Caenorhabditis elegans: one gene and its partners. The main gene of each other region encodes a partner of the protein of the gene in region 4 in a complex. Each region holds a gene or a part of one and is shown on either strand. Other genes may lie near its edges. The genes, in order: pat-3, pat-2, unc-97 and pat-4.

Region 1 (7,503 bases), 3.8 Mb from region 4:
AGATTCAATGCTCTTTTATTCCGGGCTAGTGCTATGATTAAACACACAAGGGCAATACGAACACAGAGAGACATAGAGACAGAGGATACTAGTATATGTATGCACCAGATGTCTTACTACTTGTCATCCCTTGGTTCCCTTCTTCGTTTTGTTCCTCCCAATTTCAATTTCAATTCAGTTTGGATTTTGAATTAGTTCCTATCAGATTGTTATCGATTTGATGGATTGGAGACGGGAGACGGTGGGCGTGGGAAATTTAGAACAAGAATGACTCAGACGCTATTATTTTCTACTCTTTTCGTTATTTAAGTGTTGAAATCGTCGTTTTTCACAATGTCTAAATTGTTATATCGTTGTATGATAACTTTTGACAGCCATTTTAAAATTAATTATACTTTGACATTTTAATAATTACTAGGTGCATTCATAAGCTGTAAGAGCAAGAATTATAGTTATCTTCAAAGTTTCACCTAAACTAGTTTACCAGGAACAGTTTTGATGTTCAGCAATGAGTTTAAACATTTTTGGAATAGCGGGAAGCTTAAAAATACCCAAAATAGTCAGAAATTTCATTAAACCACAAAAAAAAGAAGGAAAATGTCGATCTAGAATGTGAAATCCTTTTTTTTAGTTTCAGCTAATATCCCTGTTTGAATGTCTTCCAAAATGAGAATCCACTCCCACTTTTGAACCAAACTAACGATATTGAAACTATCGAAAAATCCCTTTCCTCACCACATCAAACCCCCTCCTGTGAATTTCGCAATTTCATCGGTCTCTGATGTCTCTAGAAGCTCCCGATTCTAACGCCTTTTCACCCATTTCCCTTTGGTTTTCTTCCCTTCGTCTTCTTTGTTTCTTCGACGATACAAGCAGGTGTAACTCTCGTTACACTTTGGTCCGAGCCCCTCTCCCGGCCAACATAGAGCACTCTATCGCCTACACTATCTCTTCGAAGAGCATTCTGCTGCTGGGTTGATGGCAGTTGTGAAGAGAGAGAAGGCGAGAGATGCTCCTGTCGAAGCACTTGGCAGATCCGCCCACGTTCCGAAAAGAGGTGATCGGTGGACGTAGTTGATACTTTTATCGATTTTTAAGGTTTGAAAAGTTATGTGCATAACTTCCAAAAATGTTAAACGGATGAAGTTTTATCCCGAAATCTCAAATTTCATACATTACACATGTGTGCCTGCAGATACCGAATTAAGTTATTGTTTCCCGAAAATACTGTACCCGGTCTCGACACGACCGATTTTTCTCAAATCCGAGTTGTCTGAACTCCAATATTCCTCGCTGCAAGTTTTTTTATATTTTCCCCCGAAAACTATGTAATTTTCTAACAAAAAGAACATGACTCCGTTATACTTCCCGCATTCACTCCGTTTGTTGAGTAAACAATAAATTTTCCTACTATGGTGACTAATATTTCAAGAAGTCATTTTCTTTCAAAATTTCCTATATATTTTTTATTGTATAACTTTTATATTATAACTTTTTCTTCACTGAAGAAATTATGAATTGGGGATGTGCCATTTTTAGTATGATATTCTTGATTTTTATATCAAAATATTTTTTTCAAAAAATCTAACTTTTTTGGAGAGCTTTAAAAATTTCAAAAGTTGTATGAAAGTTGCCACCTGTTGAAAGCAGTTTGATATCAGGTTTCTGTAGAGTTTCATCATCAATTTTTCTTATAAATACACCATTTTTTAATCTCACCGTTTTTTTTTCTAATTACTCCGTTCTCAATGTACTAAAAGCCAATTAATTAATTTTTCAGTTGAACCTACCCGGCATCAAATGCCACCTTCAACATCATTGCTGCTCCTCGCAGCACTTCTTCCATTCGCTTTACCAGCAAGCGATTGGAAGACTGGAGAAGTCACTGGAAAAGTCGTCGAAAAATCAGAATTCCCATGCTACAGTCTGTCACGTGACAATTACACATGCTCAGCGTGCATTCAATATCATGAATCTTGCGCGTGGTGTGGAGCACCGGTATGTTAAATGCTTGAGACCATGAATTTATTTTATTTAATAAAAAAAATTCCAGATGTTCGACGAGAAGAAGCCATATGCCCGTTGTGATAGCCGTGCCAAGCTCATGGAACATGGATGTCCAAACAGTTATATCGAGGATCCGGCCACAAAATTGGATATCACTGAAGACAGTAAACTCTCCGATCAAGGACAAGTTGAATCTGAGGAAGAAGCCGTTCAGATCAAACCACAGGAGATGTACGTCGAAATTCGGCCCAGTAAGTTTTTTATATGGTTTTCAAAGATAATTCGTTTAAAAACTCGATGAAAATAATCAATAAAATACAAAAAATTTTTTGGGGTTTCAGCAAAAAAAACGAAGATTTCAGGGTAATTTCGTAGTCTTAAATTTTCAGGAAAAATTTGCACTAATTAAAGAAATGTTTTTCATTGATTTTTCACAACAAAAACCGCTGAAAATCACATTTGAAAATTGTCTCAAAAACACTGAAAAAAAAATCGTACTGCATTTTTTTTGCGGAAAGTTAAAATATTTCCGGTTTTGGTTATTTTCAGCCTCTTTTTTATTTAATTTTTATCTTAAAAAGCTCCTGTAATATACAATTAAGTGAAGTAATTTATTATTATTATCATAATTCGTTGATTTACACATTTTAGGCTCGTTTGACTATTTTTGGATTTTAAGAGATTTTTGGGCTTAAAATATGCCTAAATCAACGAATTAATGATAAACTTCTAAAATTTGCAATTCAGGGTGATTATAAAATAAAAATTAATTAGTGACCGCTGCGACTCGAAAACTTGTAAAATCACAAGATTTTTCTCTAAATCCAGTTCTTCAATATCAACAACAATCTAAATGTTTTTTTTTCAGAATCCCGTGTTCGTTTCAATGTGACCTACCGTCAAGCCGTTGATTATCCAGTTGACTTGTACTATTTGATGGATCTCTCATATTCCATGAAGGATGACAAACAGAAACTGTCCGAACTCGGAGACTTGCTCGCCGAACGAATGAGAACTGTCACAAAGAATTTCCGATTAGGATTCGGTTCATTCATTGACAAGAAACTTATGCCATTCATCGATCCACGAATCGAAAAACAATTATCTCCGTGTCCAACACCATGTGCAGAACCATATGGATTCAAGCATCAAATGTCATTGACGACGAACACGGCAAAGTTCAAGGCTGAAGTTGATAAAGCTGAAATTTCTGGAAATTTGGATGCTCCGGAAGGAGGTTTCGATGCTGTTGTTCAGGCGTTGGCTTGTAATGTAAGTGGTTATTTGATTTAAAAGAAAAATTCAAAAAGAATCAAATCAACATTTTTGAGATATCGGGAAAGCTTAAAATCTAAAAATCAATATTTCAGAAAACCATTGGGTGGCGTGAACGTGCTCGTAAAATGATCGTTTTCTCAACTGACGCTGGATTCCATTTCGCTGGAGACGGAAGATTGGCAGGTGTCGTCGAACCAAATGATGGAACATGTCATTTAGATAGAGAAGGATATTATACTGAAACACTTAATCAAGATTATCCATCAATTGCACTTCTTCATCAAATGATCAAGGATCGTAAGGCAAATGTCATTTTTGCTGTTACAAAGAACAATCAGGATTTGTATACACAATTGTCGAATGCACTCCCAGATGTTTCATCGTCGGTTGGAGTTTTGGCTAATGATTCAAGAAATATTGTCGATTTGATTGAGAAGGAATATTTGAAAATTAGTGAAAAGATCATTATGGTTGATAATGCAAATGCTTCAGAAGGACTCAAGCTCACTTACAGATCTATGTGTTTGGAGTGAGTTTTTTGAATAATATTCAATTTAAATGAAAGTTGGGAACTTTTGAAAATTAAAAAAAAAACAAAAAAACGCTGTAGAAACAGATTGAGAAAGACCTCGATCATGTAGATTTACGCAGGCTTCGTGTACTCCACGAGAAGAAGCGTTTTTGGCTGAAATTCTGATTTTGGATTATTTTGTTACTTTTTTTGTATTTAACATTCAAAATTGGTAATATAATTTTTATTTATGGTATTTCAGGTGAAAATCTGTTAATTCGGTGTTGAAACCTTCAGATTCATCCGCTTTTACATAAAACAATATAAATAATTGTAAAATATCTACAATATTGCCCTCGCCGTGCAATTTTCAATATTCATTTTTCTCGAAATTAAAAAAAAAGTAATTTGAATCGAAAAATTGAGCTCTCTTAAATTCTCACGTTTCTAGACGAAAAAGTCTTCACATAAAATTGTTTTAAACTAAAAAAAAGCACAATTTTGGAGCGAAACTATTAAAATTATTACAATTTTATTCTAAAATTTGACCCTATAAATAACCGTAATTTTTCAGCGGAACCACACTGAAAGATACCAATGTTTGTGAGGGAATTCGTGTTGGAGATGAAGTTCAATTCGAAGTAACCCTTGAAAATACTCATTGTATCGATAAACGTGATTTTGTTCTCCGTATCGGACCATCTGGATTGGATGAGACACTTATCGTTAATGTTAAAGTTTTATGCGATTGTGATTGTGAACGTCAAGACAGAATTGTGACGAATTCGGCTGATTGTAACGGAGGAGATATGGTTTGTGGAGTTTGTCGATGCAAAGGAGGAAATGTTGGAAAATATTGTGAATGTAATAGACCTGGAATGAGTACTGCTGCGCTCAATGAAAAATGCAAAAGGTATGGTTTTTTTTAAAATTTAACATGAAAATTATGTGAGAAATAATTTTAAAAAATATATTGGCCGAGCAGTATTAAAAAAATTTTAATCGAAAAAAAAGCTATAAAACTTCTATGGCTGGAATACTAATCGAAAATTGATTGGAATAAAAATTAAGATCACAAAATTTTGAAATTCCTTGAAAATTTCCAAATAAATTGATTTTCTGTAGTTTTTTCTTTTTAAAAATTTCAACTGAATTTTCTCGGTTTTTTGGATAAAATTTGACGCCTTCGATGGAATCACAAGAAAAAACGAGAAAATCCATTTAAATTTGCCGGAAAAACTCCGAAAAAAAGGTCGTTGCCTAATCAGAAGTTTAAACTTTTGCTCGAAAATTTAGAAAATAATTTTTGCTTTCTTACATTTTTTAAAAAAATTCAGAGAAAATCAAAAAAATTGGAAAAAAAGTTAGAAAATTAACAAAAATTAAATTGTTTATCAAAAATGCTAAAAAATTTAAGCTATTTTTGTTTTCCGTTTTTTCTTTTTTAAAAATTCTAATGATCTAATTTCCAGAACTAACGAATCAGCAATCTGTGAGGGTCGTGGTGTGTGTAACTGTGGACGTTGTGAATGTAATCCACGTGCCAATCCAGAAGAACAAATCTCTGGAGAATTCTGTGAATGCGACAACTTCAATTGCCCACGACACGATCGTAAAATCTGTGCAGAACACGGTGAATGCAACTGTGGAAAGTGTATTTGTGCACCTGGATGGACTGGAAGAGCCTGTGAATGCCCAATTTCAACTGATTCATGCCTCTCTGCAAATGGAAAAATCTGTAATGGAAAGGGTGAATGTATTTGTGGAAGATGTCGATGCTTCGATTCGCCCGACGGAAATCGATATTCGGGAGCGAAATGCGAAATTTGTCCGACGTGTCCGACGAAATGTGTGGAATACAAGAATTGTGTAATGTGCCAGCAATGGCAGACAGGGCCACTTAATGAGACCGCCTGTGATCAGTGTGAATTCAAAGTTATTCCTGTTGAGGAATTACCCAGTAAGTTAAAAAAATATACTGATAAAGCAGAAAATCAATTTTTTAAATGTCAGAAACTTTTGAAAATTTTATTTCTGAAAAAAAAACACGTTTGATCGGAAAATTTAAAGAAAAAAAGATATTAAAATATTTTTTCGAAATATTGGAAAACTAAAACTTTTGATTTATCGAAAAATAGCTTGGAATTTTGCCCATTTTTCTTCTTTTTTTAAATGGAAATTTGATTTGATTTGTTAAAATATTACACTTTTTGTTAATTTTCTAAACGTTTAATCTTGATTTTCAGGAAAATAGAAACATTTTTTCTGAAAATAATGGATTTTGCCTTAAAATGTGTATAATACTTAAAACGTAAATATTGCAATTTTGCTAATTCTCTAAACCTTTTTTCTCGATTAAAAAACTTGAAATTTTGAAATTTTAAAATTTCCAGATCTCAACGAAACTACACCCTGCCAATTTGTGGATCCAGCTGATGATTGTACATTCTATTATCTCTACTATTACGATGAGGCCACAGATAATGCAACAGTCTGGGTCAGAAAACATAAAGATTGTCCTCCACCTGTCCCTGTGCTCGCAATTGTGCTCGGAGTCATTGCGGGTATCGTAATCCTCGGAATTCTTCTCTTGTTGCTCTGGAAATTGCTCACAGTACTTCATGATAGATCCGAATACGCTACTTTCAATAACGAAAGGCTTATGGCCAAATGGGATACGGTAAGTGACACGGAACAAAAAACATATAAATTTATCAAATTATCATTTTTCAGAACGAGAACCCAATCTACAAACAGGCCACGACAACATTTAAAAATCCAGTATACGCTGGAAAAGCCAACTAAATAGTTTTTATCCTTATATTTTAATAATTTTCCCAAATTTTCTAATATGAAAGCTCAATTTCTCCATCCAAACAACTCGAAACGAGTATTTAGCGATAAATTGTCACATTCTTCTTTGTTTTATTCAAAAAATCTCCATTTTTTTGTTTTTTTTTCCTTCATCAATTGTTCATCACACTGCTTTTACCCCATTCTAAATACGGATTTTTTTCTTCCTTCTCTATATATTGACTTGCTTTATATTCATCTTTCATTGCCTTTTGTCCCTCTTAACACCGACCAACAACTCACACACTTCTTGTACTATTTCCAATTTTCAATGGTGCTTTTATTTTTGAACTATCTTGTTCGAATTTTTCATGTAATATTAATTTTATATGAAAAAAATCTGAAAAATTAATTTTTTGTCTTTTTAATTTTTGGTTGAAACTGATATTAGCCATAACTATCTGAGAAGACATGTTAAATAATATTTTTAAATTATAAAAAGGAAAAAAAATTGCGCGTAAAGTGAGGAGCTTGGTGTTTGCATCCAAGTGCACAGAAAGCATTCAACTTGACGACAATTTTTTATTTCTTTTAATTTCTTTAAATTTTTTCGTTTAAAATTGGAATTCTTTTTATCCTATTTACCGTGTGGATTTTCAATTTTTCAGTTTAGAAGATTCCCAAAAGTTCGAAAAGTTTCAAGTATTTGACCCGAAGTGGTTTGACAACTGTTATTAAGCCTGATTAATTTATTTTTTGCATATCAACCGATTTAAAATTTAGTATTTACCACTTAAAAACGCTAGAGACTACAATAATCAAATATCTGACCCTCCTTCAAAGAATAAACAAGTTTTTTTTGACGTGAATTGTAGGATTGAAAAAAGAAAGATAGAGAAGTGACTAGACTTTTC
Region 2 (7,594 bases), 8.7 Mb from region 4:
GAGGGAACAGTCACCAGTCAACCATATCTTGGATTCTACTGACAATTACTTCATGCCCACATCCCAATACTCTCTATTACATGAACTTTTCACCAATATATAAAATGTTGTTCGTATACTGATGGGCTTCAAGTAGGCGTGATTTTTAAAACACATACTACAAATATTGGAGAAAGTGCCGTATTTGTTCTATTAGTATTGGTGCAATACGTTTTTGACCACAATATTTATGTACTTGAATTAACTAGATTTCACTGTGAAAACTGAAACTTTAAAAACTTTAAAATCTGTGGCAACTTATTGTCGAATTTTGGCAGGAAGTTTCCCTGATATTCCAAGTAGGTTCAAAAATTGAATTCAATTATCAAATTTTGGTCTGGTCAGATTGAACGTCTACTATTATAATAATTTTGCAAGTTTTTCAAAATATTAGAAAATCTCTTTGGTGTTTCAAAAATAGTAACTGCATATCTACTTGATTCCAAACTAATTGCTTCTCGTGTCCCCAAATAAGTGGTGCCTCTTCCTCCGCCCCCTTCCATCCTCCCAATTTCATCCTCAATTCATGCTTCCATCAATGTCTACGTCTCTTCGTCTCTCACACTCTCTCACCATTAGACATATGTTTGATAACTATCCGGAAACTGAAGAAACTATGTGTCCCTTCCTCCCTTCTCTATTTCAAACGACTCTTGACTCATCGTATTTTTCGGAAATTCATGGGATAACTATGAGTCTCCAGATGCCAGTTTTGTTTCGGAATTTCCTTTTTGTACGTTTTTCACAAACTTCGAATTTCTGATTTTTAACTCGTAGTCCAGCCAATATTCTGAATATTTTGAGGGTTCTCCGGTAATTTTAAAGATTTTCGAATGAGTACAACTCAAAAGCTAGAGGTTCCAGCAAACAACTTTCAACAGTCAAAACATTTTGAAATAGTTCAATTGAGCATTTGAGAAAATATTGTTGTTGGCTCTCGCTCAATACACAACAAATATTGAGATTTATGCAAAATTCGAATTGCTCCTTACTTTGCTTCTTCATCAATCTTGCTCCACGTGTCACGGGTCATTTTGTTCCCCCGTTAATTTCCGTTCGCTCACTTCTCCTGTTCGTTCAATTCATTTCTTGATATGTTCATGACTCAATGTGAGTGTGTCAAATGCTCGTAGAGCTCCCTTCTCAATTATAAATGACTTGTCGTCTTCGGAGGGTCAGTTCTTTGTTTCGCAATCGCGTGTGCTCTGTTCAATTCCATTTTTCCTTCCTTCCGGTTTTTGGAAAAGACACCGATTAGGCTTCATTGATCCACATGTTAACTGAGAATTTGAAATTATCTCAGTGAAATTGGTCGCTACTTTGAATTTAATTCATTTAGACATGAAAAACGTTCCAAAATTAAAATTCAAGCAAAGTTCTTTATTTTCCCTTTCAAAAATATTTCTTGGAACTTTTGAATTTGAGATTTTGAAATTTTTTTTCTATTCAATCAACTTCTAAAATCGTTTCATCTTCCGTATACTCGTTGCAAACTTCTTTCTGATTGTTTTCAAAAAACCGAATTCCAAATTTCCAGTAGATGCGAGAGGGTAGTTTTCCGCGAAGGATCGGCTTGCTTCTAGGCTTACTGGGCCTTTTAGCCGGAGTTGCCACCTTCAACATCGACACAAAAAATGTAGTGGTTCATCACATGGCTGGTAACTACTTTGGATACTCACTCGATTTTTACCATGAGCAGAAGGGAATGCCTGTGTAAGTTATTGAATTAACTGAACAGATTTTACATTCAAAAATTTCAGCCTCGTTGTCGGTGCCCCTGAAGCTGAAAGCAATAACCCAAACCTGGCTGGAATCCGAAGACCTGGAGCAGTTTATGCTTGCTCCGTGAACCGGGCAACATGCCGAGAAGTCCACGTGGATAAAATGAAGGGAAACTTGAAGAAACTCAATGGATCACATCTTGTTCCAATTGAAGAAAAATCACATCAATTCTTTGGTGCAACTGTTCGATCAAATGATAAGCATGATAAAATTGTGGTAGGTTTATTCTGCGGAGTTTGAAAATTAAAAATTAAATTTCCAGGTGTGTGCTCCAAAATACACATATTTCTACTCAAAATTCGAAGTTATTGAGCCAGTTGGAACCTGTTTCTATGCTGAAAATGGATTTGATAATGCGGAGGAGTTTTCATCGTGCAAACAAGAACGTATGTTTTGGGGATACTTAATTGGTACTGCAGGGGTACTGTAGTTTTGGAAAAAGGAGTTCGAGAAAAGAAAGTTCTGGGAAGTTCTAGAAACTTCTGAAAATTTTGAGGAATTGCAGGAATATTTTAATAGTTTGAAAAGTTTCTGCAACCCTCAAGACACTGTTAAAAACGTCTTAAAATTTTGAGATTTTTTTGGAAAATTCTAGAAACTTCTAGAGGCTCCTGAAAAAAATCTGAAAATTGTTGAACCTTTTGGAATAGTTCAGAGTTCGAACAATTGGTAACTTTATAAAAAATTAGATGAAAAATTACAGCTGCTCGCCACGGTCGTCATCGTCTTGGATACGGTCAGTGCGGATTCTCGGCTGCAGTTCCAGGAAAGAAGAATCAAAATCGTGTTTTTATTGGAGCCCCCGGTGTGTGGTATTGGCAAGGAGCAATGTTCTCACAGAACATCAAAAATCAGACAGACCGCCCGAATACCGAGTACGGTAGCAAGGAATACGATCACGATATGATGGGATATTCTACAGCAACTGGAGATTTTGATGGAGATGGTATTGATGATATTGTTGCCGGAGTTCCACGTGGAAACGATTTGCACGGAAAATTGGTGTTATACACGTCGAAACTGAAGATGATGATCAATTTGACTGATGAGGTGTCAACTCAACATGGACAATATTGTGGAGGATCTGTTGCAGTTGCTGATGTAAATAAAGATGGGTAAGTGAGATTCACAAACACATAAAATTACAATTCTCTAAATATTCTCTGTATTAATTTCAGACGCGACGACATTATCATGGGCTGCCCATTCTACACAGATTACGGTAGCGTGAAAGACGCAAAAACACAAGAAAGAAAACCACAATACGATGTCGGAAAGGTCATTGTGATGCTTCAAACTGCTCCAGGAGTCTTTGGAAAACAGATTGCAGTTGTTGGAGATGATCAGTGGGGACGATTTGGACACGCAGTCGCAGCAGCTGGAGACTTGAATTTGGATGGTTATAATGGTAGGGATTTTGCTACTAAAAATGAACGAATTTGAATTTCTCACAGAAATTATTTTACGCGGAAATTCAAATTTAGTTTTCGTATTTTCACTTTTCTTTTTCTTAATTTAACAATTTCTTTAGACATAAAAAATCCTAGATTATCGGAAATTTGTGCGGCATTTTGAACTTTCAATCTCATTTGAACCGCTATGGAAATTTATTGCATTTTTTGTTGGAAATTTTAAATTACAAAATAGTGTTTTTCAGATGTAATTGTTGGTGCACCATATGCTGGAAAAAACAAACAAGGAGCTGTTTATGTGATCCACGGATCCAAAGATGGTGTTCGCGAACTACCAACTCAGAAGATCGAAGGAGCCAATATTGGTCATGGAAATATCAAATCATTTGGCTTCTCCCTTACTGGAAACGAAGATGTTGATGGAAATGGAATGCCAGACATTGCAGTTGGAGCATGGAAATCTGGAAATGCAGCTGTTTTACTCACAAAACCAGTTGTCACTGTCACGGGACAAACTGAACCAGAGAGTGCATTGATCAGTGTAGAAGATAAGAATTGCGATGTTGATGGAAAATTGGGAAAACAGGCATGCAAACATATTAATACATGTTTCAAATATGAAGGAAAAGGAGATACACCAAATGATTTGGAATTTGATCTTCGATTCAATCTTGATGATCATTCTCCTGAACCAAGAGCTTATTTCTTGCAAAAAGATGTGGTAGGTCACTTTTTTAAAACTAGATAAAAATTTTTAACACAATAATAATATTTCAGAAATCTGACAGAAGCATTAAAGTTGCACAAGGATCTAAAACAAGAGACCATCCATCTTCAATCGAACAACGTGTTCGTCTTGAGAAGGGACGACAAAAGTGTTTCAGACATCGATTCTTTGCTTCTTCCACAATGAAGTGAGTTTTCAGAGAAAATATTTTGATTTTCTTTCAAAGTTTTTCAACTCAAAATGACCACAACTTTTTAAATTTTTTTATCAGAAAAAATTGAGAAAATGTTTGCTCTGCTGTGAAAAAAAGTTCAAGGCTAATTTTTGAATGTAAAATAGTTCGTATGCTTTGCAAACCTTCAAATTAGAAAATAAAATGTTTTCTAAAAATCAAAAATAAAATAATTTCAGAGACAAGCTCTCCCCAATTCATTGGTCCGTCAACTACACATATGTTGAATCAAAAACCGGAAAACTTCGTGGTGATAAGCTTGAACCAGCAATTGACACAACTGTACCACTTTCATTCCAAAATAAGATTAATATTGCAAATAATTGTGGAAAAGATGATCTTTGTGTTCCTGATTTGAAGGTTACCGCTGTTGCGTAAGTTTTTTTAATTTTCAAAATGATCGATAAAAAGTGTTGAAAAAATACATTAAATATGCCATTTTTTCATTGAATATAAAAGAAAGGGAAACATTGAAAATCCTCATTACAGTAAGTTTGAAAAATTATTGAAAAAATGGGTTTGTCTCGAAATGTTTTAATCATTACTCTAATTTTAAAATTTTCAAAAAAATATAAGGAAATGAGCGAGAAAAATTGAATATAACACAAAATACAATGTAACCTAACTCGACAATTTTCAAAACATTTTTTATAATGAGACAAGTTCACAGCCATTTTTAAAATGTTTGCTTCAGGATTTTCCTGTCAAAATAATTCCACGAAGATTGTATGTTTCTTTTCTTCACGGAATCGGCGAAATTTTCAGTGAAATCATATCATTAAAATAATTATTCCTAAACCTATAAACCAAATGCCAGCAATTAAATTCTTTTAAACATATTTTTTCAGTGATCGTGAGAAATTCCTTTTGGGAACTCAAGACAATACAATGCTTATCAATGTAACAGTTCAAAATGGAGGAGAAGATTCATATGAGACAAAACTTTATTTCGATGTTCCACAAGGATTCGAATACGGTGGAATTGAAAGTGTTGGTGGAGATGGAAGCAAGTCTGCTCCAGCTTGTTCTCCAACTTCCGATGAACCAGATTCGGATGGAAAATGGACTTTTGCATGTGATCTCGGCAATCCACTTCCAGCTAACAAAGTAGTTAGTAGTGTTGTAAGAGTGACTGCTTCTTCTGATAAACCTCCACTTGCTCCAATCAGTATTAATGCTCATGTGAACAGTAGTAATGATGAAGAAGCTCATACTGTTGCTGATAATAAAGTCACATTCACTATTCCAGTTGATTTTAAGAATCAATTGAGTTTGAATGGTAGATCAAATCCCGAACAAGTCGATTTCTCAATGACGAACAAAACACGTGTAGATGCTTTCGATGACAATGAAATTGGTCCAGTTGTTTCACATCTTTATCAAATCAGTAATCGTGGTCCATCTGAGGTTGACTCAGCTACTTTGGATATCTTCTGGCCATCATTTTCCACTGAAGGAGGTCATCTTCTGTACATTATCACAGAACCAGTTGTTAATCCACCAAATAAAGGAAGATGTCGGGTCAAACAACTGCAAAATGTTAATCCATTGAATTTGAGGGTACGTTTGAATAATTTTTAAATTTCTAGACATTACTTTAAAGGTACACGCTGTTTTTCTGAGTGGGTCTTGCCACGATCTCATAGTCGTTGCAAATCCCCAATTTCTGTAGACACTGAATTTTATAACTCTGTACATTTAAAATTGCAGTGAAATACGGAAGGAACTATTTTGTTTTAGAAATAGAAGTAAGAAACTTTATCATTTTTAGGATAAAATTCAAATTTCTTGGGAAATTTTGAAGAATTGTTTTCGTCAGTTTCTGAAATGTTTAGAATCGGCGAGTTAAAAAAAAATATTGGAAACAATCGAATATGCTGAAATATCACAAAAAAAATTGATTTTCCGGTTCGGGCTGACAAACTTCACTTTTTTCAATTCAGAATCCTGAACATCTTATTTTATAAATGTTCACAAAAAATTACTGTCGCACATTAAAAACGAATTAAAATTTCAGATAACAAATGAGCATGTTCCAACTGAACCACCAGTTGCCAAGACACCAAATGAATATTCAAGAGAAGAAGATGATGAATCATATGAAGATGAAACAACAACTCAATCCCAATCAACACGTCATCAATCTACACAACATCAAACTCATCATCAATCTGGTCCAGTACATGTATACGAAAAAGACGAGGAGAAGATTCGTCAGAATACTGGAAATTGGCAATATGTTGAGGATAAAAAGAAGAAGGGAGATTATGAATATATTCCAGACGATCAGGAATATGATGGAGATGATTTTGAAGAGGAAGATGATGAAGATTTTGATAGAGCTGGAAGTAAGAGAGTTAAAAGAAATCCAACACCAAAGAAGAAGAAGAAGGGAGGAGAACACCGTGGTGAACCAAGAAGTGATAAGGCTAGATTCTCTGATCTTCGTGAAGCTGTTAAACTTTCGAAGGAAGCTGGAGGAGTTGTTGATTATAAGGGACCACTATCAAGAGCATCTGTTGATTGTAATTCATTGAGATGTACACATATTGAATGTGATATTTATGATCTTAAAGAAGACGAGTTTGTACTTGTGGAAATCTTCTCTAGATTATACACAAACACATTGGTTGATGAGAAAAATCCTGGAGGAGACATTTCATCGTTGGCTCTTGCTCGTGTCACATCTACTAAATACAATCTTCCACATAAGCCAACATTGATAACAGCAGTATCTACAAATATGAATGCAATTGCTTCTGAAGAAGGAAGAGATCTTCCTTGGTGGCTTTATCTTTTGGCTATTCTTATTGGACTTGCCATTTTGATTCTTCTTATTTTACTGCTCTGGAGGGTGAGTTTCAAATTTAATTTTCAAAAATACGATTTATTACATAACAACATAGATATTGGCTTGCAAGTTAAATTAAAGTTCTTTCGCCAACTTTCATGCTTACTTGTGACGCAGCAAAAATTATATCTTAATTTCCAATTTTGTGAAGCGGTTTCTCAAAGCCTCATTGATTTATTCGGATGGGCCTCGCCGCGAGAAAAGTTTATGGTTCAAACTCTGCCATTTTCGAAAGGTAAAAAATGATTGTCACAAAGATTAAGAAAAACTGAATTTAAAAGAAGTTGCCTACGACATTAAAGCTGTGCTCACACGCTTTCGAAAATTTCACAGCAACGTCCACGGCGAGCTTACGTCGGGGGTACTGTAGAATATAGGTAGATCAGAGCGACTACAGTATACAACCAATTTCGAAACAAATTTACAGTTTCCCTCAGAAAATAAATAATAATAATCTAATTTTCAGTGTGGTTTCTTCAAACGTAATCGTCCACCAACTGAGCATGCAGAACTCCGTGCCGACCGTCAACCAAATGCTCAATACGCTGATA
Region 3 (4,242 bases), on a different chromosome or scaffold from region 4:
CTTTCTCTGAAAATAAGATTTTTTTAGTTGGGAAAATAGGACATTTTTGAAAGATTTTTCATTTGATGTTTTAACTTTCGGATTAATTGTGAGCACTTTTTAAATTGTTCCAACTGAAATTAAAAATATTTTTAGACAAGCTAAAGATTTTTCGATATCACTGAGTTTCAATTAAAAAATTTTGAGAACATGCCACACTGGTTCATTTTGTAGAAACTCACTTTGAAACTTATAGATTTGTGTAATAAAATACTCAGTTTAGAATTTATACACTGCTCCGAAAAAAGTCGGTCCAAAAACCTCTGTTATCGGTTTACGATCTTCTAGAAAAAGCGGTGGTATTTCTCAACACTGCGCACAGCTGTTTGGCAGGTGGAGGCATTTCTACTGGCAGAGGACCTCATTCTATAATGTCATCATTTCAAAGTTAGTCATTGTTTTCAAGCTACAATTTCTGGATTTTTGTCATCCTGATATATGATACTAGCTCATGATCAAGGCCAGTCGTAAGAATATAAAAACACAAACGAAGGTCAGATACTGAACATTTATCTGCCAACATTTGCGGGGTTCGTACTTTTCAACCATGTCTTTTGATTTCTCATATCTAAACTGATGATCCTTTCTTATTCTCACAACTGTCTATAAACATGTGTTAGAAAAAGCTTGTTCCTGCCTGTTCCGAGTATCAACGAGCAGCAATACTTGGCTATTAATGTGACCCTACGCACGCAACCCGATTGTATGCGTCTCTTCGAATCGCGCACTCTTCCCGGAGTCGTTACGTCTGCGGCCGTAGTCTGTGACCCCCCGCTTGGCTGTCGGCCAACCCGCCGCGCGCGCATTGCCTCTCGCTTTCTTCCACTCTTTTTAGTTGTACATTCTGCGCACTTTCTTTTTGCCCAGTAAATGCCCATATCACTGTGTGAGGAAAGTTGATTTTCAACAACTATTATCATTTTTAAGGTGTTGTTTATAACTATTACTATGTTTAAATATAATTCAAAACTTTATAGTTTAGCCGTATAGAAGTTGTATTGAATTTTTGGTTTCATTTTTACAACTAGTTTTATTTTTAAATGCAAACACCACAAAAGAAGCATTGTTGCTTTCCTCCGTTGCATCTCAAAACATCTGGTGTAATACATGTATCACATTTTGAAGCGTGAAATGTGCCGCTTCACTGAATTTTGTTATGTAGAGTAGTACATAGAAAGTCAAAAAAAAATCGAAATAACTAGTTCGAATTTTTTCCCATTTAAACACACGATATCCCAACCGATGTTTCTGAAGAATCTTTTTTCTGTTCCCAATCAATACTGATCATCAACACATCGGATACACGTCTCCCTCTGTGAGTTAGTCAGGGAAGCTGAGGCATCCTGTTGAATCTGTTGTGCAGCAGCACTCACACACATACTTTTGTTGTTCACTTATATCTCTATCTCTTGGTTCGTTTTCATTCTTTACACAAAATGCAATGGCAAAAGCTTCCACGCCACCGCCTCCGAGTTCTTCTTACACATATGTCAACCCGTCGCATCCTATACCTTTGGCACATTTGCCTCTTCCTTGAGGATTTCTTCTTTTCTACTGTTTCACAGCCCCCTCGTATAATACCTCCAGTGTTTTTACGATTCTTAGAATATGGAAATTTCTGTGTTTATGCAAAAATTTACTTTGCATATAACAAAATGTAGATATGAAATTCTGACTTTTTGTGCTCTTTTCGATTAACCAACATACCTAACCTATACACACTATATGCTTTCTCCGGCTTTCCCTTGTTTGTACATATTTGTCTTCATATTACTCGCTCGCTTTCTTTTCTTCTTTCCTACCCCCACCTTTTTCCTTACAAACCCATGGTCGTTAAACCATCCTGTGTGCATAGTGGCCAACTTTCAGTGGTTCAATAATAGATGGTGTGTGGCGGAATGGATTCCGACCACAACCATATCAACGGGGATCTCGCCCATGGCTTCGAGAACATGGTGTGCGTCCGTTGTAATGATGGTTTTTCGATGCAAGATCAGATGGTGAACTCTTCCGGGCAAGTATGGCATTCGGAGTGTTTTGTGTAAGTTTTTATAAGTTAGAATTAAGAGAACTCAAAAATTGCAAAAAAATTTTTAGATGTGCTCAATGCTTTGAGCCATTCCCAGACGGCATCTACTTTGAGTATGAAGGACGAAAGTACTGCGAGCATGACTTCCATGTTCTGTTCTCACCATGTTGTGGAAAATGCAGTAAGTATCTTTGAGAAGACACGCAGAGCCATAAATGTTTTATATTCTAGACGAGTTCATCGTTGGACGAGTGATTAAAGCAATGAATGCCAGCTGGCATCCGGGATGTTTCTGTTGTGAGATTTGCAATAAACAGTTGGCCGATGTCGGATTTTTACGGAACGCTGGACGGTAAGTTGGAGAGCGTAAACGAAGCTCGAAAGAATTTCAATTTTCAGAGCTCTCTGTCGCGAATGTAACGAACGGGAAAAGGCAGCAGGTCATGGACGATATGTGTGCCACAAATGCCACGCAATGATTGATGATGGACAACACATCAAATTCCGTGGAGATTCATTCCATCCTTATCACTTTAAGTGCAAACGTTGCAAGTAAGAATTTATCTTGTTTTACAGTATGAGTTGAATTTAAAAAATTTTCAGCAATGAATTAACGACAGCTTCTCGTGAAGTAAACGGAGAGCTCTACTGTCTCAGATGCCACGATACCATGGGTATCCCAATTTGTGGAGCATGTCACAGGCCGATTGAAGAGCGTGTCATCGCGGCACTCGGCAAGCACTGGCACGTGGAGCACTTTGTCTGTTCCGTCTGTGAGAAGCCATTCTTGGGACATCGTCACTACGAGAGAAAGGGACTTCCATATTGCGAACAGCACTTCCACAAGGTACTTGAAATATGAACAAGCAAACATTAATAAGTTTGTTGCAGTTATTCGGAAATCTTTGTTTCAAATGCGGAGATCCATGTTGCGGGGAAGTATTCCAAGCTCTTCAGAAAACGTGGTGTGTCAAATGTTTCTCCTGCAGTTTTTGTGATAAGAAACTTGATCAGAAGTGAGTGCAAAACTATTCATATGAACTTGATGAAAACAAATTAATGTATGCATTGCAGAACGAAATTCTATGAATTCGATATGAAACCAACATGCAAACGATGTTACGATCGGTTCCCCACAGAATTGAAAAAGCGCATCTCAGAAAGCTTAAAGGACCGCGACGTTGAAAATCAAAGAAGATCGATGAGTCCTGGACCAAAATAATAAAAAAGAAAGAAATAAAGGAGTCCCCGTAATTCATCAATTTCCATTAAAGAAGTAATACTTTCCAAATGCCATTGCTCATTTCTCTTTCCCATTGTTTTTAATACCTTGGTGCTAAAAAAAAACATCGTGAAAATTGTTATCAATCCGTTTTGTCTTTTAAATGCCTTATATTTCAAAACTATTTTTCGGTCACACAAAAATGTCATTGTACTCATTTCTAGCTCCATAATTGTCCTTCCCCTTCCCTTTCCCAGCTACTTTTTGATTCAGAAGCCTTCTGAAAACAATCATAACTTTCGACCAAATTTTTTGTGTTCCTATCCGCAAAAACTTTGCATCTTTTCTCGGGTGTCATTATTGCATAACTTGATTTCTGAATTTTTGTACTATTTTTTTGTTCAGAAAAAAAATATTGACTGTATTGAAACAAAATCGTATTGTAATATTGAATCCTTTTTTTCGGCATCAACAATCAATTTGTAATCAGTGATCAACAGGAAGGTGAGTCCATAGCGCCCGGAGAGATATTTTTGGTTCAACTTGAAACGTGTTAAGTGAGAATTATACTTTCCAGTGTCAAAATGTTTGTGAAATTTCTAAAAATACGAATGAGCCAGTAGAAATGATCGTATTGCACTTGAAATTCTCTTGGGAATTTATTTGTTGAAGCTTCAAAATGTGAAAGAAAAATTGGGCTATTCCAACAAAAAACGACTTTCATCGTTTTTTTGCTCAGCAAACTCTGTTTGATCATTTTACATAAAGATGAAATAGAGTCGATGATTTTTTTTTAAATTCAAAATGACAAAAAAAATTCAGTTTCCAAGAAGTTAATTTCGTTAAAAAATAAATTTTCAATTATCGATTATTTGAAGAATTTCCAACAAAATTCTTCTTTTTTATCAATTTTTTTTTTGGTTTTTTTTTGTGGAAAAGTCTAAAATTTTGT
Region 4 (7,722 bases):
ACGTTGCTAAATCAGTTGAGAACACTCTGCGGCTCTTCTCTCGCATTTTTTGTAGAAGATCTACGTAGATCAAACCGAAATGGGACACTCCGACTCCCCCCGCTGGAATTGTCAGAAAATCAATAATTTTCTACGCAACCCTCCCGGTCCCCAAAATCCTTGGCATCATCATCATCAATGCTCAGTTTCCATCCGAGAATCGTGTTACAACATCCGTCCCTGCTTCTCTGCGTCTCCTATCTCTCTCCATATCTCTTTATCTCTAACTCACACGACTCCCACGGGAACCAAATCTCTGCGTCTCTCACTGCATTTCACACTCTCTCTCCCCCGTCTCTTCTCTTTCTCTCAAATGTTCTTGAATACCTTCTTCCGATGAGCTTCTCGCCCCCTCAAAACCAACTCAATTTTATGATATACTTTCTAGTGATATGATATTCCGTTATTTTTCTGCCACGTGGCAAAATTTTGGGATGTTAGGCCACGTTAGGCCCTTTCTTGGCTGTTTTGGGAAAAGCGTCTGAAAATGGTTTTTTGTCTGAAAAACGTCATTGAATTTTAGTGCTGCAATTGTGAAGTGGTAACTTTGTTAAGCTTCACAATTTTTCGTTATGCTCCGGGTTCAGGTATTTTGTAAACCCAGTCTTTGAGAAGAAAATTGCTAAAAAAACTTGGGTCCCGCCACGAAAACGCTAGGAATTTCAAGAGTTTTTACAGGAATTGATACATAACTTTTCAGTGCTGTAGAGGAAAAATTTACAGATCTTTTGGGCACAAAAATGTGCGATGGGGGCTTTGAAATAACGTGAAAATTTTTTTTGAATTACTTTTTTAATCAAAAAAGTCCTTTGGAATATTGGGGTTTTTTAAAGCTTTTTTAGCAAATTTATACTATTCTGAAAACCCTTAAACTGCTTAATTTAATGAAACTAGGTATAACTTTGTCGAACTATTTTCAGCCAAGTTACAGTAATTCTTCTGAAACTCGCTGCGGAGCTTCAGAGCAAAAATTACGATTTCCTCAAAATTTTTAAGAGAAAGTTACCATAAATTAATATTTTTCTGATGGCTCGGAAATTTTCCTATTCAAATTTTGAATTTTCAAGACCAGAAGCTCGTTTTCAGCCAAATTTTAGAGCTTTTTCAGGAGTTAGCTGTGAAAGGTAAAATTGGAAAATGTCCTAGAAGCGAATTTGCCGGTTTTTTGATAAAAATTTTCAGGCAAAATCCAGGCAAATTTGTACTTTTCTGAAAGCCCGAATTCTCATCTTTTCAAATTCTTAGCATTCAAGACCAGAAGCTCATTTCAAGCGAAGTTTCAGAGCTTTTTCTGAGCCAACCTCTAGACGACGGAATGGTCAACGAAAAGATATCCCACAATCGCTTGCCGTTTGTTCTCTGCGCGGGATACTACTCCCTCTCCACAATACATACATTTACAACAAATTTCGTCTTGTTCTCTGCGTCTCCTACATAGTCCTCTACTATCTCGCCTGGCCAGCGGGGGAACAATGTTGACCCCCCCCCCCCCATGCCGTCGCCTCAGCAAAATTCTACTGCTTTCTGTTGTACTTATTGCATTGTTTATTTGTCTATGTCTCTTATATCTAACTTTTTTGGCTTGAAATTATAGATTCCGGGCTTCATGGGGCCCGGGAAAAAGTTGGAAAAATTGAGAAAATTTGGAAATTTTTGGAGATTTTTATTGATTTTTTAATAGTTTTTTTCTTCAATTTTCACCGATTTTTTTTGTTGTAATTTTACATGTTCCTGCTCAATTTTTCTTGATTTTTTCAAATTTTACACTATTTCACACGTAAAACCTTATATTTCCAGTCAACAATGTCTTTGTCGACTCATTACCATGCGCACAAGCCAAATGTGCCCATTATAATGGAGGATGTGTTTGGATGGGTCCGCGAGGGTAACGCTTTTCAGGTGAGTTTTGTAAATATTTTTATGGGGTTAGGCTCGATGAGAGCTTTTGAAAAAGTATAATTTTGTATAGGTTTTTGAAAAAAAAAATTTGGAAAAAAATTGAAAATGTTTGGAAATTATTTTTTTTAATTCTAGAAAAATTCAAATTTTTTCGCTGAAAAGTGGGCGGAGCGTATATGAATTTATACTTTTTTGAAAGTTAATGTTTTTCCTCAATTAAAAAAATTTAAATTTAAATCCGAAATTCTGAGATTTTCTAAAAAAAAAATTCATTAAAAATTTTTTTTTTTTAAATTTAAATTCCTATTTAAAATGGCGGAGCTTATACAAATTTATACTTTTCTAAAAGTTAAAATTAAGCTGAATTTGAAAAAAATTGTTGCCAATTTGAAAAATCAAGTTTAAAGCTAGATTTTAAGCTTAAATCTGGAATTTCCGGTAATTTTTGTCCGATTTTTCTTTTCATGCTAACTTGATCAACTTTCACCGAAATTGTCCAATTTTTTTGCAGAGGATTTATCACAATCCTTACTATAGACTAAGACTACTATCAAAATTTCAGGTCCGCGTCTGGTTGGACGATCACGAGCACGATCTCAACGTCGGAGACGATCACGCCTTCTCACTGCTCCACTGGGCCGCGAAGGGCGGCCACGTGGCGATTGCAGAGATGCTCCTGTCACGTGGAGCACGTGTAAACTCTACGAATATGGGAGATGACACGTCATTGCATTTGGCGGCCGCCCATGGACACCGACAAATTGTGGTGAAGCTTTTGTCGAGAAAAGCCGATGTTAACGCTACCAACGAGCACGGAATGACTCCACTGCATTATGCTTGCTTTTGGGGATATGAACAAATTGCTGAGGTGATTTTATTGATAAATTCGAATAGAGCTTGTTTAGAGCTTCAAAATAAGTATAAACTCGATTGGGAAAATTTTTTGGGAAAATTGGAAAAAAATGATTTTTCAAAAAATTCAGAAAATTTTTTTTCCAAATTTTCGAATAAGTTCTTCTCGGAAAGTTTTAATTTCGCAATGAAAATGTATAGTTTAGGTGAAATTATTTTTATAATCAAATATAACTAGATTTGAGCTTTAATAAATGTATAAATTCATAAAGGATGCGCCCACTTTTGACCAAAAATTTTGAGCTTTTTTTTGCCGGAAAAAATTTCTGAAAAAAAAATCATTTTTTCAACACTTTATAACTTTGGAAGTTTTTTGGCTATTTTTTTTTATGTTTTCATACTTGCGTCCTAAATATTTTAAAATTTCAATTTATTATACCAAAAACACAAAAAGTCCCTATTTACAGTAGCCCCTGGGAGTTTTCGTGGCGGGACCCAAAAATTTATCGAAAATTTGTAGAATTTTCAAAACCCGGGCATGATTATACTTTTTTGAAAGCTCTTAACAAGCTGAATTTGAATTTGTTAATAATTACCTTGATTTCTTGCAAAATAACAACTTCAGGACCTAATCTCCTGCGGCGCCGCTGTCAACGTGTGCAACAAGAAGGGAATGACCCCACTGGACGTTTGCCAGCCAATGTGCAAAAACACTATTTTGGGTAAGTTTTTTGTGCATTTTAATCTGAAAATTGAATTTTTTTAGTCGGAAAACATATAGATAAGATTTTTAGAAGAAAAAATGCATTTTTTGAAAAAAAAAACATTTTTCAACATTTTTACAACTTTTCAAAAACTCATAACTTTTTAGTTTTCAAGCGATTCGATTTAATTTAACGTTAAAATAAGTCTAAAAGATCAAGCTTTTTGGTAAATTAACTTAAAAAATTGAAAAACATAAACTACAGTAACCCTATAAGTTTTCGTGGTGAGACCCAAAAATTCTGAAGTCTTCTGGGCAATGCTCATTTTGTGTGGAGCCTGGGCATGATTATACTTTTCAGAAAGCTCTTGGTGAGCAAAATTTAATTTTGATACTTAAAAATAATGTGTACAAAAATTTAATGTTTTTTTCAGCAAAGACTTTTGACTCGCAAAAAGTTTTTTTTTTGGGATGACTTTTTTCTAATAAATTTTTAAATTATCGATTTTTTCTAGAAATTGCTCAAGAACATGGACAATCTCCAAATGACCGTGTACCATTCAAGGATACCACATGGAAGGGTACAAAGTCCCGTACTCGGGACGCCACACTGTCCCGCTACACCGGAGTCGACGTCTCCTCGCTGAATTTGATCACTAAAGTGGGTTATAGATTTTTTCAGTGGAAAATAACTTAAAAATTCAAATTCAGCGTAAAAAATTAGTTTCAATCGTTGAAGGATGGGAATTTTCCGCGAATTTCGAAGTTTCTGAAAAAATTCGAAAAAAAAAATTTTTTAAGGAAAATTTTCAAACATTGAAAAAATCATAACTTTGACTGTTTTTGAGATTTTCAGCCGGTTTTAACCTCAAAATATGCACAAAAACTTGTTCTACGTCAATAAAATATTAAAATACTGTATTGACACAAAACAGCTTAACACTATGGATTTTCGCGGTGGGACTCAAAAACTCGTCGAAAATTGGAACCCGCTACGTAAACTTCCAGAATTCACTTACCGTAGTGTATATTATTATTTAATATAAATAATACTGTTTTTCAATATTTTATACGTGTTTTATGTCAAAAATCTGCAAAAAATCTTAAAAATTGGCAAAGTTATTAAGATTTGAAATGTTTGAAAAAAAAACTTCATTTTCGAAATAAAAATTTTTTTTGACCTGAGTAAATGTATACTTTTCTGAAAGTCTAGATCAAGATGAACTTGATAAGCTACCTCAAACTTTAAAAATCCCAAAAATTTCCAGCTTAACCCCCACTCTGTTACAGATCGCTGAATCACACTCCGGAGAACTGTGGCGTGGAAAATGGCAGGGCAACGATATTGTGGCGCGAATTTTGAATGTTCAAGAAGTGACCGCCCGTATCTCACGTGACTTCCAGACCGAGTTTCCGGCTCTTCGTATTTTTGCTCATCCGAATATTTGTGCGGTGCTCGCCGCGGCTAACCAGCCACCGAACTTGGTGATCATCTCGCAGTACATGCCATTTGGAAGCCTGTATAACGTGCTCCACGAGCAAAGTTGTGAGTTTTGAAGGTTTTCATTGAAAAGGGCGCAAAAATTAGTCCTAGAAAATGTTTTGAAAATTTTTTTTTTTGATTTCGAAAAAGTAGAAAAAAATTTTTTTTTGATAAATTTTTTTTTTTCAAAATTTGTACTTTTCCCAATTTTTGAGATTTTTTGTTAAAATACTGCGCACAGATAACTCAAAAAATTGTCTTTTTAGTAAAATTATCAATATCATATTAGATAACTTATCTACAGTAACCCAACAGTTTTCGTGGCGAGACCCAAAAATTCTCGAATTCATGCTAAAATGGCCGGAGCCTAGGCATGATTATACTTTTCTGAAAGCTCTTAACGAGATCTATTAGATTTTGACATTAATTTGTGAAAAATCGCTGAAATAATTTAATAAAATCAATAAAATATTGCAGCTGTCGTCATTGATCACGGGCAAGCCGTCAGATTCGCGTTGGACATTGCTAGAGGAATGAGCTACTTGCACAGTTTGGACCCTATGCTTTTGAGGTTAGTGTGGTTGAATGGAGCTTAAAAAGAGCTCCCAGAAAAGTATAAATTTTTATAGGCTCCGCCCATTTTTCTGGCGGGAAAATTTGAATTTTATGTTTTTAAAAAAATTTGGATTTTTTTTTCCAAATTTCAAAAGTTCATAACTTTTTTAGTTTTTGATACTTTCAAACGGTTTTTGGCTTAAAATGTGCCTGAAATAATGTTCTTCGAAAAGTAGCTACAACAAAAATTTTCAAAAATTGTTTTCAGGAATCCAAGAGTTTTTGGGGCACTACTCGAAAAAAAACTTAAAAAAAATTTTTTTTTTTTTTTTTTTTAATTTTTTAATTTTCCCCCCATTTTTTTACGTTTCTTAACTAATTTTAGAGTTTCAGATAATTTAAGCTATCATAAGCCTAAAGCCCAGTTTCCAGGTTCTACCTCTCCTCCAAACACGTTGTAGTCGACGAGGAGCTCACCGCCAAACTCTCAATGGCAGATACGAAATTCTCGTTCCAAGAGGTCGGAAAAGCCTATTCGCCTGCCTGGATGAGCCCAGAAGCCTTGTCACGGGCTCCAGAAGACTTGAATATTAGAGCTGCCGATATGTGGTCATTTGCTATATTGTTGTGGGAGCTGAACACTCGTGAGGTCCCATTCTCTGATCTACCGCCAATGGAATGCGGAATGAAGGTAAGGGAGGGTTTTTGGAGGGCTGAAAGTGTGAAAAATGATGTTAAAATCCTAAAATTAATCTATCAGTTAATTTCGGATGAAATTTTGGAAAAAAATTTTTTTTTGGCCCAAAAAAAATTGTTTTTCTATTATTTTTTTCAAAAGTGTTCATTCTTAAATTCAAACTCAGAAGCTCAAAACAGGCCGTGACAACATTTTTTAGCTCGTTTGGGCTCAATGTCGTAAGATTCGGTGTTTGCGTACTTCCGAGACTACAGTACCCCGAAAGCCCTGAAAATGGAATAGAAACGTCTAGTAACGACTGACCACGCTCAAAATTTTGCGAGAAATTCGAATTGAACCACAGTTTGTTGACATTTTGAGATAAAATCAAAATTTTTTTCTGAAATTTTGTCAAAAAATTCGAATTTCTTCGTATAATTTTGATCAAATATAATTTTTATCAAAAAATTTGAATTTCCCGTCACTTTCTACCTCAATAAACTCAAAAAACTCATTTTCCACCGCTTTTCTGCAAGTCGTCGTCAGATTCAGTGTTTGCGTACTTTTAGGGTTACAGTACCCCTTACACCTCCAAAATCAGCGTTTCCAGACCCAAATTTCACGCTGAATCCAAATTTATTAATTTCAGATCGCTCTGGAAGGTCTCCGAGTGCACATTCCCCCTGGAATCGCCCGTAATATGAACCGTTTGATGAACATTTGCATGAACGAGGACCCGGGACGTCGGCCAAACTTTGATCAAATCATTCCGATTTTAGAGAGAATGATATTATGATTTATCGATTTTGCTTTTCTAATGTTTTCAACAATTTTTTTAAAATTCAATTTATCAAAGCTTTACATCAAAAGTGCCTGCTCCTTGTCCAGCCCCATCGCATTTTCCGTCTATATATTAATTTTAAATGTTAAACTGTCAAAAAAAATTGCTCAATTTATGAAAAAATCAATAAAATCTTATGAAATGTAAGGATTACTGTACGCAAACACTCTTCGACAAAAAAGTTCGCTGCAGTAAGTTTCATGTATCCAAATAATCAGTTGCCAAAAATTTGCACGTGTAGCCTAGTGGCTAGTGACCTCGCCCGCCAATCACAGGGCCTGGGTTCGATCCCCGCAGTGGCAAATTTATTTTTTCCAGCTCGGTTTCACTGAAATTTTTAGTTTTTTCCATAAAAATCGATAATTCCTTTATTAATGCGTCATCCTATGTCACTGTCTACAACAAAAATACCCATAAAACACATAAAAATCAACAATTTTCGGCTCTAAGATGCCCAATTTCTCGTAGTATCAATGTAGTCGCCGTCCGGAGCCTCGTAGTTTCGAATGGGCGGAGTCAGTGAGGGTCCCTGTAAGAAATTTTAAAGGATTTTTCGGAATTTTTTAATTTTTAGAAAAAAAAATTTGGAAAATTCCAGGTTTTTTAAAAAAATTTTTTAACCAATTTTCGGAATTTTTCGCAAAATGTCAGTGAGTTTTCAGATTTTTCTAATA

Evidence for each region.
Region 1: pat-4 (region 4) and pat-3 share a complex: the UniProt entries of both Caenorhabditis elegans proteins name them as parts of the integrin containing attachment complex.
Region 2: pat-4 (region 4) and pat-2 share a complex: the UniProt entries of both Caenorhabditis elegans proteins name them as parts of the integrin containing attachment complex.
Region 3: pat-4 (region 4) and unc-97 share a complex: the UniProt entries of both Caenorhabditis elegans proteins name them as parts of the integrin containing attachment complex.

What each region holds. Positions count from the first base shown.
Region 1 is NC_003281.10:3,908,427-3,915,929, reverse strand, and holds pat-3 (Integrin beta pat-3), read left to right. Parts: upstream 1-1,780; 5' UTR 1,781-1,800; coding exon 1,801-1,998; intron 1,999-2,053; coding exon 2,054-2,258; intron 2,259-2,875; coding exon 2,876-3,279; intron 3,280-3,377; coding exon 3,378-3,814; intron 3,815-4,370; coding exon 4,371-4,709; intron 4,710-5,268; coding exon 5,269-5,756; intron 5,757-6,189; coding exon 6,190-6,476; intron 6,477-6,529; coding exon 6,530-6,601; 3' UTR 6,602-6,999; downstream 7,000-7,503. UniProt on the Caenorhabditis elegans protein: Integrin alpha ina-1/beta pat-3 is a receptor for laminin. Integrin alpha pat-2/beta pat-3 recognizes the sequence R-G-D in its ligands. Plays a role in cell migration, morphogenesis and probably in cell-cell interactions.
Region 2 is NC_003281.10:8,817,323-8,824,916, forward strand, and holds the start of pat-2 (Integrin alpha pat-2), read left to right. Parts: upstream 1-1,576; 5' UTR 1,577-1,579; coding exon 1,580-1,752; intron 1,753-1,799; coding exon 1,800-2,037; intron 2,038-2,083; coding exon 2,084-2,207; intron 2,208-2,524; coding exon 2,525-2,936; intron 2,937-2,999; coding exon 3,000-3,229; intron 3,230-3,478; coding exon 3,479-3,954; intron 3,955-4,010; coding exon 4,011-4,147; intron 4,148-4,239; exon of another isoform or gene 4,240-4,331; intron 4,332-4,371; coding exon 4,372-4,566; intron 4,567-5,040; coding exon 5,041-5,752; intron 5,753-6,209; coding exon 6,210-7,046; intron 7,047-7,509; coding exon 7,510-7,594. UniProt on the Caenorhabditis elegans protein: Required for muscle development probably through the regulation of the actin-myosin cytoskeleton. Component of an integrin containing attachment complex, which is required for muscle maintenance.
Region 3 is NC_003284.9:5,591,225-5,595,466, forward strand, and holds unc-97 (LIM domain-containing protein unc-97), read left to right. Parts: upstream 1-1,908; 5' UTR 1,909-1,937; coding exon 1,938-2,080; intron 2,081-2,136; coding exon 2,137-2,249; intron 2,250-2,299; coding exon 2,300-2,420; intron 2,421-2,467; coding exon 2,468-2,620; intron 2,621-2,671; coding exon 2,672-2,915; intron 2,916-2,959; coding exon 2,960-3,084; intron 3,085-3,142; coding exon 3,143-3,290; 3' UTR 3,291-3,741; downstream 3,742-4,242. UniProt on the Caenorhabditis elegans protein: Component of an integrin containing attachment complex, which is required for muscle development and maintenance. Probably function in adherens junction.
Region 4 is NC_003281.10:88,924-96,645, reverse strand, and holds pat-4 (Integrin-linked protein kinase homolog pat-4), read left to right. Parts: upstream 1-1,836; 5' UTR 1,837-1,842; coding exon 1,843-1,938; intron 1,939-2,500; coding exon 2,501-2,806; intron 2,807-3,415; coding exon 3,416-3,512; intron 3,513-4,008; coding exon 4,009-4,154; intron 4,155-4,783; coding exon 4,784-5,039; intron 5,040-5,453; coding exon 5,454-5,547; intron 5,548-5,963; coding exon 5,964-6,222; intron 6,223-6,856; coding exon 6,857-7,003; 3' UTR 7,004-7,193; downstream 7,194-7,722. Other genes in the region: mrpl-40 (Large ribosomal subunit protein mL40), read right to left, coding at 7,494-7,577. UniProt on the Caenorhabditis elegans protein: Probable pseudokinase that acts as an adapter protein. Component of an integrin containing attachment complex, which is required for muscle development and maintenance.